Linked DNA regions of Saccharomyces cerevisiae S288C. Changing the gene in region 2 together with the main gene of any one other region gives a genetic interaction. Each region holds a gene or a part of one and is shown on either strand. Other genes may lie near its edges.

Evidence for each region.
Region 1: of RER1 (region 2) and VPS54, changing one enhances a phenotype caused by changing the other (phenotypic enhancement), as found in Saccharomyces cerevisiae (2 studies listed by BioGRID, with this or other methods).
Region 3: mutations in RER1 (region 2) and UBX3 together harm fitness more than expected from each alone (negative genetic interaction), as found in Saccharomyces cerevisiae (2 studies listed by BioGRID).

What each region holds. Positions count from the first base shown.
Region 1 is NC_001136.10:494,149-499,271, forward strand, and holds VPS54 (Vps54p), read right to left. Parts: upstream 3,171-5,123; coding exon 501-3,170; downstream 1-500. Other genes in the region: NSI1 (Nsi1p), read right to left, coding at 1-120; protein phosphatase regulator REG1, read right to left, coding at 3,687-5,123. UniProt on the Saccharomyces cerevisiae protein: Involved in retrograde transport from early and late endosomes to late Golgi by linking the vesicle through the t-SNARE TGL1 to the Golgi, leading to the membrane fusion between late Golgi and endosomal vesicles.
Region 2 is NC_001135.5:109,884-113,005, reverse strand, and holds RER1 (protein retrieval receptor), read right to left. Parts: upstream 1,091-3,122; coding exon 524-1,090; downstream 1-523. Other genes in the region: YCL002C (uncharacterized protein), read left to right, coding at 1,331-1,372, 1,449-2,198; PGS1 (CDP-diacylglycerol--glycerol-3-phosphate 3-phosphatidyltransferase), read right to left, coding at 2,336-3,122. UniProt on the Saccharomyces cerevisiae protein: Involved in the retrieval of endoplasmic reticulum membrane proteins from the early Golgi compartment. Required for correct localization of SEC12, SEC71 and SEC63 in the endoplasmic reticulum.
Region 3 is NC_001136.10:292,892-296,674, reverse strand, and holds UBX3 (clathrin-mediated endocytosis regulator UBX3), read left to right. Parts: upstream 1-1,915; coding exon 1,916-3,283; downstream 3,284-3,783. Other genes in the region: RAM1 (protein farnesyltransferase), read left to right, coding at 346-1,641; RNA-binding signal recognition particle subunit SRP14, read right to left, coding at 3,454-3,783.

The DNA of each region.
Region 1 (5,123 bases), on a different chromosome or scaffold from region 2:
CTTTTTAATATGATTCTTCAAGTCGACTCCCACATACCTTAGCACTGCTTCTTCTACAGATTCTTTTGGGTCATTATTGTTCTGAAAATTTGTGCTCTTAAGGTTTGACACGCTGTCCATTCTACCTTTATCTTTCTTCTTGACGCAGACAAGAAACGGCTGCTTGCTCTATGCACAAAATTTGTTCAGCGCCAACTGTGTCGTGAACGATGCTATGTTGGAAATTACAGGAGATGAGTTGTAAAGCAACTGACGAGATACTTGAAGTACATTTTCATAGCTGCTGGAAAAAGTCCTTTCCTATCGCATTTGGAAAGCTCTGACCTCGCTCGATCTTCATTGTTTGATCATTTCTTCACCGCTCATGTTTGGAAAAATAATACGTAGATAATGTTCTAAAAAAAAAGCGGAATTTCTTAGAGAATATAACATCGATGATTCATTAGTTTAAAAAGTAAATAATGGTACATAGCTTGAAATCTAATTTTTCTTTATCATGTTTATACAGGCGGAGGTGGGGCATTGGCCATGTATATTTTATTCGATGAGGCCTGGAATTGCCCCAACAGGGTTGTATAATGACTCGCATCGAATGGCTCAAAATCCCTGTTAGAGTTGGAAAGCCTTTGATAAAATCTCTGAACAATAATCACAAATTCTGCGAGACAGTCCAATGACTCTCCCATGATAGATAAGTTTCTACCCGTTTTTAAAAGTGAGTTTCCAGGTTGTGTGACAGATGCCATGGCGCTACTGTTGTAGTATTGTAGTGCGTCATAGCACAACTTCTCGAAATTTGATAAGTATATCGAGGGAAGGTTTATGGAAAGAACCATTAGCTCCTTAATAACCTCAATGGTAGCGAGCAGAGAACTACTGGCCACAAAAGTTTTATCGCCAACAACAACCGATTTCCTATGACCTTGATATGTTTCATTTCCTTCATCTTTTTCCTTGTCCTCGCTTCTGCCATTTTCGCAATCATGAGAACCCCCTACCATGTCTAAAATAGTTGTCCAACTCAATGGGTCTATGTCTATACTTGACACAATGTCGTTAACATCGCTCTGAATAGAGGAGTCCACAATATATGGAATCCATTCTTCAGCATCAATCTTTTTCTTTATGTTGCGGTAATTTTTTGAACTTTGTGCGTTTGCATAATGCTTGATCTGAGATGCTAAAACATTACTTAAATATTTCGTTAAAAATTCACCACTTAATACTTCACATTCTTGAATAAAAATAACGCATATAGCATAAAATTTCAAGAAATAATCATACCGTAGAGATAAGTTCAATTCTCTTCTTACGGCAATGATCTTGCCTGTACGTAACTGAATAATTCTGATTATTTCGTTGATGCCAGTACGTATATCCAATTGCGTAATCATGTTGTGCTGGTTTTCGTTTGGACTTTTAACAGATGCTAGCTCGTTAAGAGAGATATCTAGAAGCAACTTTTGATGCCCATAAAGTCTTCGAAGAGCTTCGAGCGCGTGCGTGAATATGTTTACTAGCATGGACTGAAATTCTGCAGGAGTTTGCTCCTTTATTAATCTTGAAAGTTTAGACCCACTAGTAGAGCCATTGTTAAGATGTTTTTCATCGTGGTTATTGTCAGCGTGTGCATTCTCTGTTGGCAAATAAATTTTTATGATAGATTTAAGCTCAGTGATAGATTTTTCCCTGTATAGGTCAAAGGCACTCGTTAATTCTTCGCATCTATTCAATCTGACTATTAATTCGGTTATCTTTGAAGAAAAATTATCAGTAAATATAGTTTGCTTTTTATCATTAGATCCCGTTTGTATCCTATGTAGTGTTTCCTTTGGTTTGATTGATTTGCAAAAGGATCTTAAATCATCTATTAGTAAAATCGATAATTGTAGGCTGAACTTTCCTCCTATTTCAATCTTCATATTGGTTAAAAACTCTCTCGTTGCTGACAAAGCAGGTATCGTCCTCAAATTGCTTAATTTATAGGGCCAACACCTAGTCCAACTCTGAACATCTTCGTTTATTGAATCATCCCCCTTAATCAGATAATCGATGGATTTTATCAGCTCTAAGCAGTTATCCAACTTGTTCTCCTCATACATTGACTTACACTCATCTGTTTTGTTCAGCACTAACTTCGCCTGTAATAATCCCTGTTCTAGTTTCTCTACATTCTTCCTCTTAAAAATCATTTCTAAATGTGAAATTTTTTTTCTTATATTCTCTGCGTCAATGGTCTTGATATTCTGTGCTAGCTCCTTAAGCTCGCTCATTGTGTCCAAGGCTCTTTTCTGAATATTGTCAACTTCACTTAGCGCATGAAAAAATTTGTGTGAGGATTTGGATATCTCTGTAACCAGTAATGTTTCTACGATATCCAAAAAATCGTTTAGCCTGTCCCTCAACTCAGAAAAAGCCTCATCCCTTTCCGCTTGTCTCTTCATGTCTAGTTTCGTTAAAAATAAATCGATAGCGTCCAACACTTTATGAAAAGTTCGAGGGTTATCTAATTGAAATTTGTCTGAAAAGTAAAAGTCAGGTATACTATTTATTAGCTCGGCATCCCCTTGCCTCAGATTTGCTTCAAACGACTCCTCATGCATATTTTCCCCTTCTCGCAGTTCTTTTAACTGTTCCATCTGATTCATGTTTCTTATATTATTTGTGCTTTGAAATATTTGGTAATCACTTTTAATGTTTTTGACGTATTCGATAACATGAGTTTTCCAATGGTCATCCAGATCATTTTTGCTTAGGCTAACTTGTGGAATATCAGCAACAGTGGGGTAATTGAGCCAGTTTTTCCTCCTTGTGTTCATCACAATTTCATAGATGGAGTTATTTCCCAATGGCGAAAAGTCCATGGACCCACTATGTGTTTCATTTTCAAAACCGAATGATCTACTATTTGCAACAGATAGTGTCCTAGAATCAAAACTTCTTCGCGGCGTTATTGAATCCAGACTTAATCTCGAAGATCTTCTCGCTCTTGGTGTGACACTGCCAGATATACTTAACAAGTCGTCATTAAGGGAAGTATCACCCTCTATAGTAAAAGAGCCACTATCACTATTACGAGAAGGCGATCCCTCAGGAACAACAATTTTAGGACGACCAGCCGCTTTTTGCAGTCCCTGGCTTTTATTATGAGGTGTTTCGCTTATTGACATTGGCCAGATACCTCACCAAACCTTTAAATTGTTTTAATACTGCTTTAGGATATCAATACTGCCAATTACTGTAAGCTCTGCCTAAAACAAAGTTGTGCCTAAAACAAGCCGTGTCGTAGTTTGTTTTGTTTACTTTCTAGACTGTTGTGTGGTGTCTTCTTTATAAAGGAAAAACCCTTTAAAGATCGAAGAAAACATTGATTGTACTCTATCTGAAAATCATTACCCACGAACATATCTTAGATCAGCTGCGTTTAATTGCTAATATATAGAACACACATACGACTATGGAAGCTCAAGAAGTTCTTGTACATAAGTACCAAATATTGTAAAGGTATAAAGAAGTTTTGAAATCTGGAGCGAATTTAATTGTGTACGTAAAATAACTGCTTCGCTGTCTACATTTGTCCTTGACAATGCCAGTCGATTACAGCTTACTTGGATCCTAAAGACGGCACTGATCCACACTACCTGGATTTTTATTTTCTCTTCATGTTGACTTCAAAATTCTTTCTTCTAACTGCTGTCATTTCCATTTTCTTGTGGCTTGACGTCACTCTTTTTCCAAGAGTGCAAGTACTTGCTTGCCATACCTCTTGCATTCTGCACCACTTTGTGTAAGCTTTCATTACTCGAATCCGTCAAAGACGCTTCTTTTCTAGTGGTTTGCACGCTATCAACTTTCTTGTCCTTTAGCTTACTAGCATTATTTATATGGCAGTTTTCAAATCCTTTTGCCAAAGTGTCCATTTCTGAGTGATCTTGATGGTCCATCATATTTCCCCCGGAAACAACAGACTTGATAGATTCATTTCTAGGAGAGAAATAACCCTCTATGGCAACATCACTCGCCCCCACTTCGGCTGGTGAAGGAGTATTATTTACAATTCTAAAGCTTTGTGAACTATCGGACGCTTTTGGCTGCTTTGGAAGGGCTTTTTTCTTCTGAGATGATATGTTTGCTGGTGTCACACTGCCTTTCAATACGCTTCGATTAACCAGCTGACTGTTAGCGGGTAATGGTCTTTGTTCCTCCTCGCTGCTACTCTCTTCTTCACTATCTGAATTGAATATGAAGTTCCCTGAAGAGGAATTGCGCTTCAACGGATACGGCCTGACAGCCAGTTGTGCATCTTTGTCTACATCAGTTTTACCCCCTGTAAAATTAGTAGGATTTTTTTGTTGAGGAGTTGCCGAAGAGAGTGATGGTTGTGCTAGATCGTACAAAGAATTGGTAGATCCTGATTTCCCAAGTGACAATGTTCTCCTCAGTGAAAGTCCTTCATCGTGGTTATCGTCTACTTCTTGGTCATCGTCATCTTCTTCCTCTTCGTCGTCGCTACTATTGTATTGTGAGTCTTCAATAAATTGCTGTTCGCTATCTGATGAAGAGCTGTAATTGTCGTCGTCATATAATAACATATGCGATCCATGTTGACGTGTTGTATTATTTGCTGAAGCTTTGTGTAGTTGTGGAACATGTTTTTCCTTGGATTCTACCGCATTGTTAAATTCATAGTTTGATGCATTATCATCTGCAATGGCTGTTTGTAAGTCCATTCCTTCAGGAACATCTACAATGTCACATGAATCTACTGGTAAAAAACTGGAAGTATCACCAGTGTAGACCGAGTTATAATCGTATATGTAATCATAGCCTCTGGAGGTATTGACGTTATGTGACACAGCATTACCATACCCATTAAATTCGCCATTATCAGATTCTTCGTCTGATCCATAATTCAAAGTGGTATCAGGAAGCAACTTTATTATGGGACGTACATGAGCTCTGGAAGTAGTAGATGAAGCCACAGAGGAATTATCTGTTATTGGTGAATGAACTCCAGAGTCAGACCTCCTGGAAAATCTTGCATTTATGTAAAGGCCGCCGTGTTCTTCATCATCAGAATGTGATGAAGATGATGATTGTGAGGATGTATCATCGTCGCTAGT
Region 2 (3,122 bases):
TCATTTTCCATTGAAGTCTATTGTGCCACTTAATCAAAATGCGTTCGATGATAAATTTACTAAGTTCTTTAATAACTTGGAAAACTAATACACTAAAACACATGCACGCCACGGAGTATGGACATTATAAACGTGTGAACATTTCAAACTCACAACTTGCATGACATTACTCTCTCTTTTGCATCCTTTATTCCTCGACATACCCCATTTCTCACTAATTTGGTATTAGTAATTATGCAGAAAGGTTCGAAGCTGTCAATTCTTTTTAGACATGTTTCTTGAAAGTCTTTACAAAAATTTATCAATTGGAGGCATCTCAAGCTCTCCATTTATAAATGGAAGAAAATGAGCCTCTTCCCTTCAATTTTGCTTAATCAATAACTTCATGTATTCTTCCAATATAAGAGAAGATGAGTAGAAGGAGAAAATAATCACAATTATTCTGTAACTATCATATAATTTTGTTTACATATAATTAAGATACGAATGTGTTCGTTGAATAGGTATGTGGAGTCAGGGTATATCAGTTAGAAGAATGAGAATATTTCTTCTTACCGATATCTAAGGGTATATATCTATATTTTATCATATGTTGAATCTGCCTTCTCATAGTTAAAAAAAACAATAATATGAAATACATCAATAAGATGGGCCAAAATACTGGAATATCGAAGATTGAAAATAGCGACAACAAGAGGGAAATGACAGTGGCTCTAATGCTGTTATACCAGAATTTGAACTCTGGTAATCTTCTGATGAATGGACGGAATTCTTCTGATTTTTCTCCAGCTTCCAATTCGTTGTTTTCTTCATCTTGCTGTAAGGACATATCGAATTTTGGGGTCAAAAAGGCTAAAAATTGATTCAATAAAAATAGACCTAGACCATAACAAATCACATACCAGCCTTCGGCCATTGTAATACGAACCATAAACAAACATAACAAACCACCCAATACAGCCCACCTCTCCTTAGCGTGAGGAGTGACTTTATCCAAATAGTGTTGATATAATAATTTCATTGTATTCATCTTAGTGATTAAGGGGTTACTTGAACCACCGTTCATTGTATCAGAGCTATCGTAATCCATCTTGCTTCCTTTTTTTGATACTCTATGCCTTTCGTGTAACACTTAGTCCCAAATCGAAATCGCCTTTCTTGTATCGTTATTTTTCTTATGTATAATTCGTGTTCTACTGCAGAGGCGTGTTTTGACAAGTTTTTTTTTCCTCTGCGAACGAAAAACCCACAATTTTTAACCTCATTGAGGTAAGGTTTTCCAGAGGAGAGGTTGAGGAGCCCTGCGAAGCAATTATATTGAATCATTCACATGCTTGTTATTGTTCTGCAGGGCTTGGCAGGTTTTTTATCAGTATGCATAATTGAAGGAGAAAGTATACATGAAAGGTTTGACTAACTAAGGGAGAAAACTTCCATTTCTTACATAGATCATCGCCATTCTATGTCAAAAGCGCTATAATAAACTTCATCGATCTATTTACGGGCTTTCATATGATTTATTTCTGCTAGATTTTGTTGGTAATGGTCTGTACTTGTATTGCGCGTTGCATTATTGTTATTCATCTCTGGTGAGGGAACAACTGTCTCAAAGATTCCCACTTTTTTATCCGTTGAATGATGCCCGTAGTATACCTATATCCAGTTTCCTCATTCTAAAAGATTTTTGCGTTTCCTGTTGCTGCATGATGGTTTTAAGGCAGTTATACTATTATAGGTCAACTAAACATATTTATCAGGGCATTTCCATTACTTCCATAATAATTATAAGTGTGTTCCTTGTATTAGGCATATTTACATATGGCTGTTCCATCTCTAATTTACCGTTGAAAAATTCAGGTAAATTTGGCGTTTTCTATTTGGAACACATAAATTATTTGTGGGTAATGGCAAATCTGCTTAAATGTTTCAAGTATGTGCCTCAAATGAGTATAAACTGGATGGGATGCTCAACAGTAGGTTTATCATCAAAGTTTGCATTGATATCATTTTTGGCTGAATCTATCGATTTATTAGGTAGACTGGTAATACCGACCAATGCATTGTTTTACGAGATACCATTTAATTCAACGCCCTTTTGGGTAAAATTGATACAATTTGTCACCTTATTGGTCATACTTTGTCAAGTTCAGTATGTTTACGTAGGACGGAAACCACGGTTGCCAAAAGGAAAACTATAACAAGGTCAGCTCATTCTCTACCTTAATGGCTTTGCGATGTTTGCAAATTTAAGGAGTTTTAGATAATGCATTTATTATTACTATTTTTTCTTTTATTTTTCCATATTTACAGGCGACATACTATGATAGAATAGAATCTAAAGTTTTTTACCCAAAATGGAGGTAGCTATCTTTACACCAGTGCCAACATGTCTTTCTGGGTCTGATTGAAAGTCTTCTAGAGTTACAGGTTTTGTATATTGTAATAAATTATCTAACTCTGCTTTCATTTTTTTTCTTAGCTCTTCATCTCTTGTAATAATGAGAGCATTCGATTCCAAATCTAATGAATACGCCCTTCTCGTATAGTTTGAAGATCCTATAACCGTGATAAAGGGTTTCCAATTGTTAGCATCATTTTTATCACGAGCGGAAAGCCAAATACCTTTTGCGTGATATGACCAACCATTCGGCTTATTTACTACGCCTCTTTGCCATTCTCTTAATGTAATAGCATGATCTTGTCTGTACCTACATACATCTTGTAGAAATTTTTTTGACAGGTACAAGTAAGCACCAGGTAAATTTGATGAGACGCCCTTTGATTGGTAAAAGCCGTTTGCAAAGGGGGAAGCTGTTATTACATTTGCCTCAGCAACCGGCGTTGCCAGCAGTTTTGCTTTGATGTCTGGCAAAATATTGAAGTATCCTGCAGTGAACGTCCAAGAAATGGCATTGCTTGTTATAGTGGAAAGCAATGACAATATTGTTCTTTTTTCGGTCGATTTGTCATTATATTTGGGAAAAAGTGGAGTGAATTGAGAAATTGGGTAAACTAATGTGGAGAATTGACCCACGGCAGTAATCGGGAGGCTTTGTTTAGAACTCTTTAAAAAGCCATCTAGTAATTGAGATGCTTCCCTTAAAAACAGCCTTTTATTTTTC
Region 3 (3,783 bases), on a different chromosome or scaffold from region 2:
GGTGTTAACTTCTTCCTTTATATATTGCAGGGCTATTTTTCCCTCCTTTCGCTATTGAAAGAGATCACTATTCCCGTGCTCTGTTCTGATTAAGTAGGAGGACAAAAACACTTGTAACTTAATCCACCTATTCTTATTATTTCTGGCTAACGTTAGAGGTCTTGAAGCGAAACTGTTTAACATTGTAACTTATTAATCTTTTCGTATAAGCTGTTGCCTGATTAGGAAAGCTTGAAACTGAAACACGCGAAAGTGGCTAGGATAAACCAAGCAAGGGTCCATATCATCGCCGTTCTTATGCAGAAACAACTGCAGTGCTTGTAAAGCTATAGGCAATCAAAGCGTATGCGACAGAGAGTAGGAAGGTCCATAGCTAGGGCTAAATTTATAAATACTGCCTTATTAGGAAGAAAGAGACCAGTTATGGAAAGAGTCGTCGATATAGCGCATGTAGATTCAAGTAAAGCAATCCAACCATTGATGAAGGAACTAGAAACCGACACTACAGAAGCACGATACAAAGTACTACAAAGTGTATTAGAGATATACGATGATGAAAAGAATATAGAACCTGCTCTCACGAAAGAGTTTCACAAAATGTACTTGGATGTCGCTTTTGAGATATCGTTACCTCCACAAATGACAGCACTAGATGCTTCACAACCGTGGATGCTATATTGGATTGCTAACTCATTGAAGGTAATGGACAGAGACTGGCTTTCAGATGACACCAAAAGAAAAATTGTAGATAAGCTCTTTACTATTAGTCCTTCAGGAGGACCCTTTGGTGGAGGTCCTGGCCAATTATCTCATTTGGCCAGCACTTATGCTGCAATTAATGCTCTCTCCCTTTGCGATAACATAGATGGATGCTGGGACAGAATTGATCGAAAAGGAATTTACCAATGGCTGATATCGTTGAAAGAGCCTAATGGAGGATTCAAGACCTGTTTAGAAGTCGGAGAAGTGGATACAAGAGGTATATACTGTGCCTTGAGCATAGCAACCTTATTAAATATTCTTACAGAAGAGCTTACAGAAGGTGTGTTAAACTATTTGAAAAATTGTCAAAATTATGAAGGTGGATTCGGCAGTTGTCCTCACGTAGATGAGGCACACGGAGGCTATACTTTCTGTGCTACAGCTAGTCTAGCAATTTTAAGGTCCATGGACCAAATAAATGTTGAAAAGCTTTTAGAATGGTCTAGTGCTCGTCAATTGCAAGAAGAACGAGGATTTTGCGGAAGGAGCAACAAACTTGTTGACGGTTGCTATAGTTTTTGGGTTGGAGGTTCGGCTGCCATTCTTGAAGCTTTTGGATATGGCCAATGCTTCAACAAACATGCTCTTCGGGACTACATATTGTACTGTTGCCAAGAAAAAGAGCAACCTGGTTTGAGAGATAAACCAGGGGCCCACTCAGACTTTTACCATACAAATTATTGCCTATTAGGACTGGCTGTTGCGGAAAGTTCATACAGTTGCACTCCTAATGATTCTCCACATAATATTAAGTGTACTCCAGACCGCCTAATTGGATCATCGAAACTTACTGATGTCAACCCTGTCTATGGTTTACCAATAGAAAATGTAAGAAAAATTATCCACTACTTTAAATCCAATTTATCTTCTCCAAGTTAACCACATACTATTATATATATGTATTCAATCTCCTTAGCGGTCAGTCTCTTTCCAATTTCTTTCTCTTTACGTTATCATTGTCCTTTATTCGACACTTCGGCGACCGCTTTTAAAACGATAATAACAAAGCGAAATCTTATTGTAACACATCCTTGCTTAATTACATACGAAGCAAAAAGTGAGAGTAAGTTCAAAAACAGCGGGCAATCGTACTCCCAAATTTTGTTGTACCTCATCAATCGGCTTGACTGCGATTTAAACATACCCTTTAAACATGGATATATTTAGGCATACTTTTGGAAATAATGATGATTCCTTTATTCGAATCCCAGGTGCTTTTAGAGAAGAACCACCTGCTGATTTGAATGGAAGGACAGAAGATCAAAACAGCAATACAAATGAACCCACACAGAGCCGGGATGGACGCTTAAAATCAATACTCCATTTTTTATTTCAAGCTCCCCTAATAGTTCTTTATTATTTATTGAATTTCATTGTCCGAAGTTCACGTCTTTTAAAACCTCTATTAAGACTTCACGGATTCTACCAGAGGAAGCACAACCGTTTACTAGACCACAGTTCCCAATTACACCGTCTTTTAGAAAATCTAGAAAACGAAGCTCAAGCTGTAACGTGTTCTGAAGGTAACGGGAATAATGATGATGGCAGCAATACTGACAGTACGAGCAACAATGAGAGCAGTGGGGTCCAGTTTAGTTTTGGTTCTTTATACAACCCTGAAAATGGAACATTTTCCAAAAGCATTATGCAAAATAGTTACACTGAATTATTGGATGCTTGTAGCGAACAAGTGAAATTTGGAGTCATTTATTTACATGACCCATTGTTGGATAATCATATGGATTACGTTAATAAAATATTGTGCTCAGAAGCCTTTGTTAACATGATAAGGAAGTACCAGGTATTACTATGGTATGGTGACGTTACTACATCCGAGGGGTTGCAAGTTTCCAATGCATTAAAAATTAGGCAATATCCCCTACTTGGAATAATTTCTTTAAAGGCTGAGAAAAAAATAGAGTTAATAGCAAGAGTTGAAGGTTCTATTTCTAACTACAAAGCCCAAGATTTGGAGGCCATATTCTCCAAGAATTATTCTCGATTAATTCAATTGCGTCAGCAAAGACAAAATATTGAAATGCAGAGATTAATAAGACAACAACAGGATTCAAGATACCAGGATTCCTTAAGACGTGATCAACAAAGAGAATCAGAAAGATTGGAACAGACCCAAAGAGAACAAATGGAAAGAGAGCACCAAAGAATAGAAAACCAATGGCTATTGTGGAGAAAAAGCCAACTAAAACCCGAACCCTCTTCTGATAAAGATGCAAGCAAAGTTGCGATCAGACTAGAAAATGGGCAGAGATTAGTGAGAAAGTTTGACGCATCTCTACCAACGGAGGAGATATATGCCTTCGTAGAATTACAGTTGCATGACATGTTGAACTCAGAAAACGATACTTTACCCGTATACCAACCTGCTAATTATCAGCACCAGTATAGCTTCAAATTGATCACGCCGGTACCAAGAAGAGAGCTTGATTTATCTACCAAAATATCTGACGTTAGCGGCATATATCCATCAGGAAATATTGTAATGGAACGCCTGGACGAATGAAAGGAATTTCAAAAATAGTCATCTCAAAACGTTTATTCTAAAGTTTAGTTAAATTTATATCTACACAACTTTATGCAATTAATCTTTTATATCTACGTTGCCATCCTTTAATCTACACATCCAAAGATAACAAGAGGCGCACATGCCTTTTGACTCAAGTGTCACGTGCATCAGTTTTTCTTCGCTACCTTGTTTTTCTTTCCTGTCTTACTGATGGTACCGTTCTTACTCTTCTTTTTCTTCTTCTTGATCAAATTCTGCATGCCCCCCTTAAATACAGATGAATACTCTTGCCAAAATTGATCTAACTCACTTGCTTTTACCACTGTTGAGCATTTTGTTTTCTTGTCATGCGAGCCATAAGACATTCTGATTAATAGTGGGTATTCTCTGTCAGATCTTGAGCTAACTGAAATTTCAGAAGCCTTTTTAGATACATCATAGTCAGGATGGTTGGTAGAATCAAATTCAAGATTCCCTTCCACAGGATCGTGTTCTAT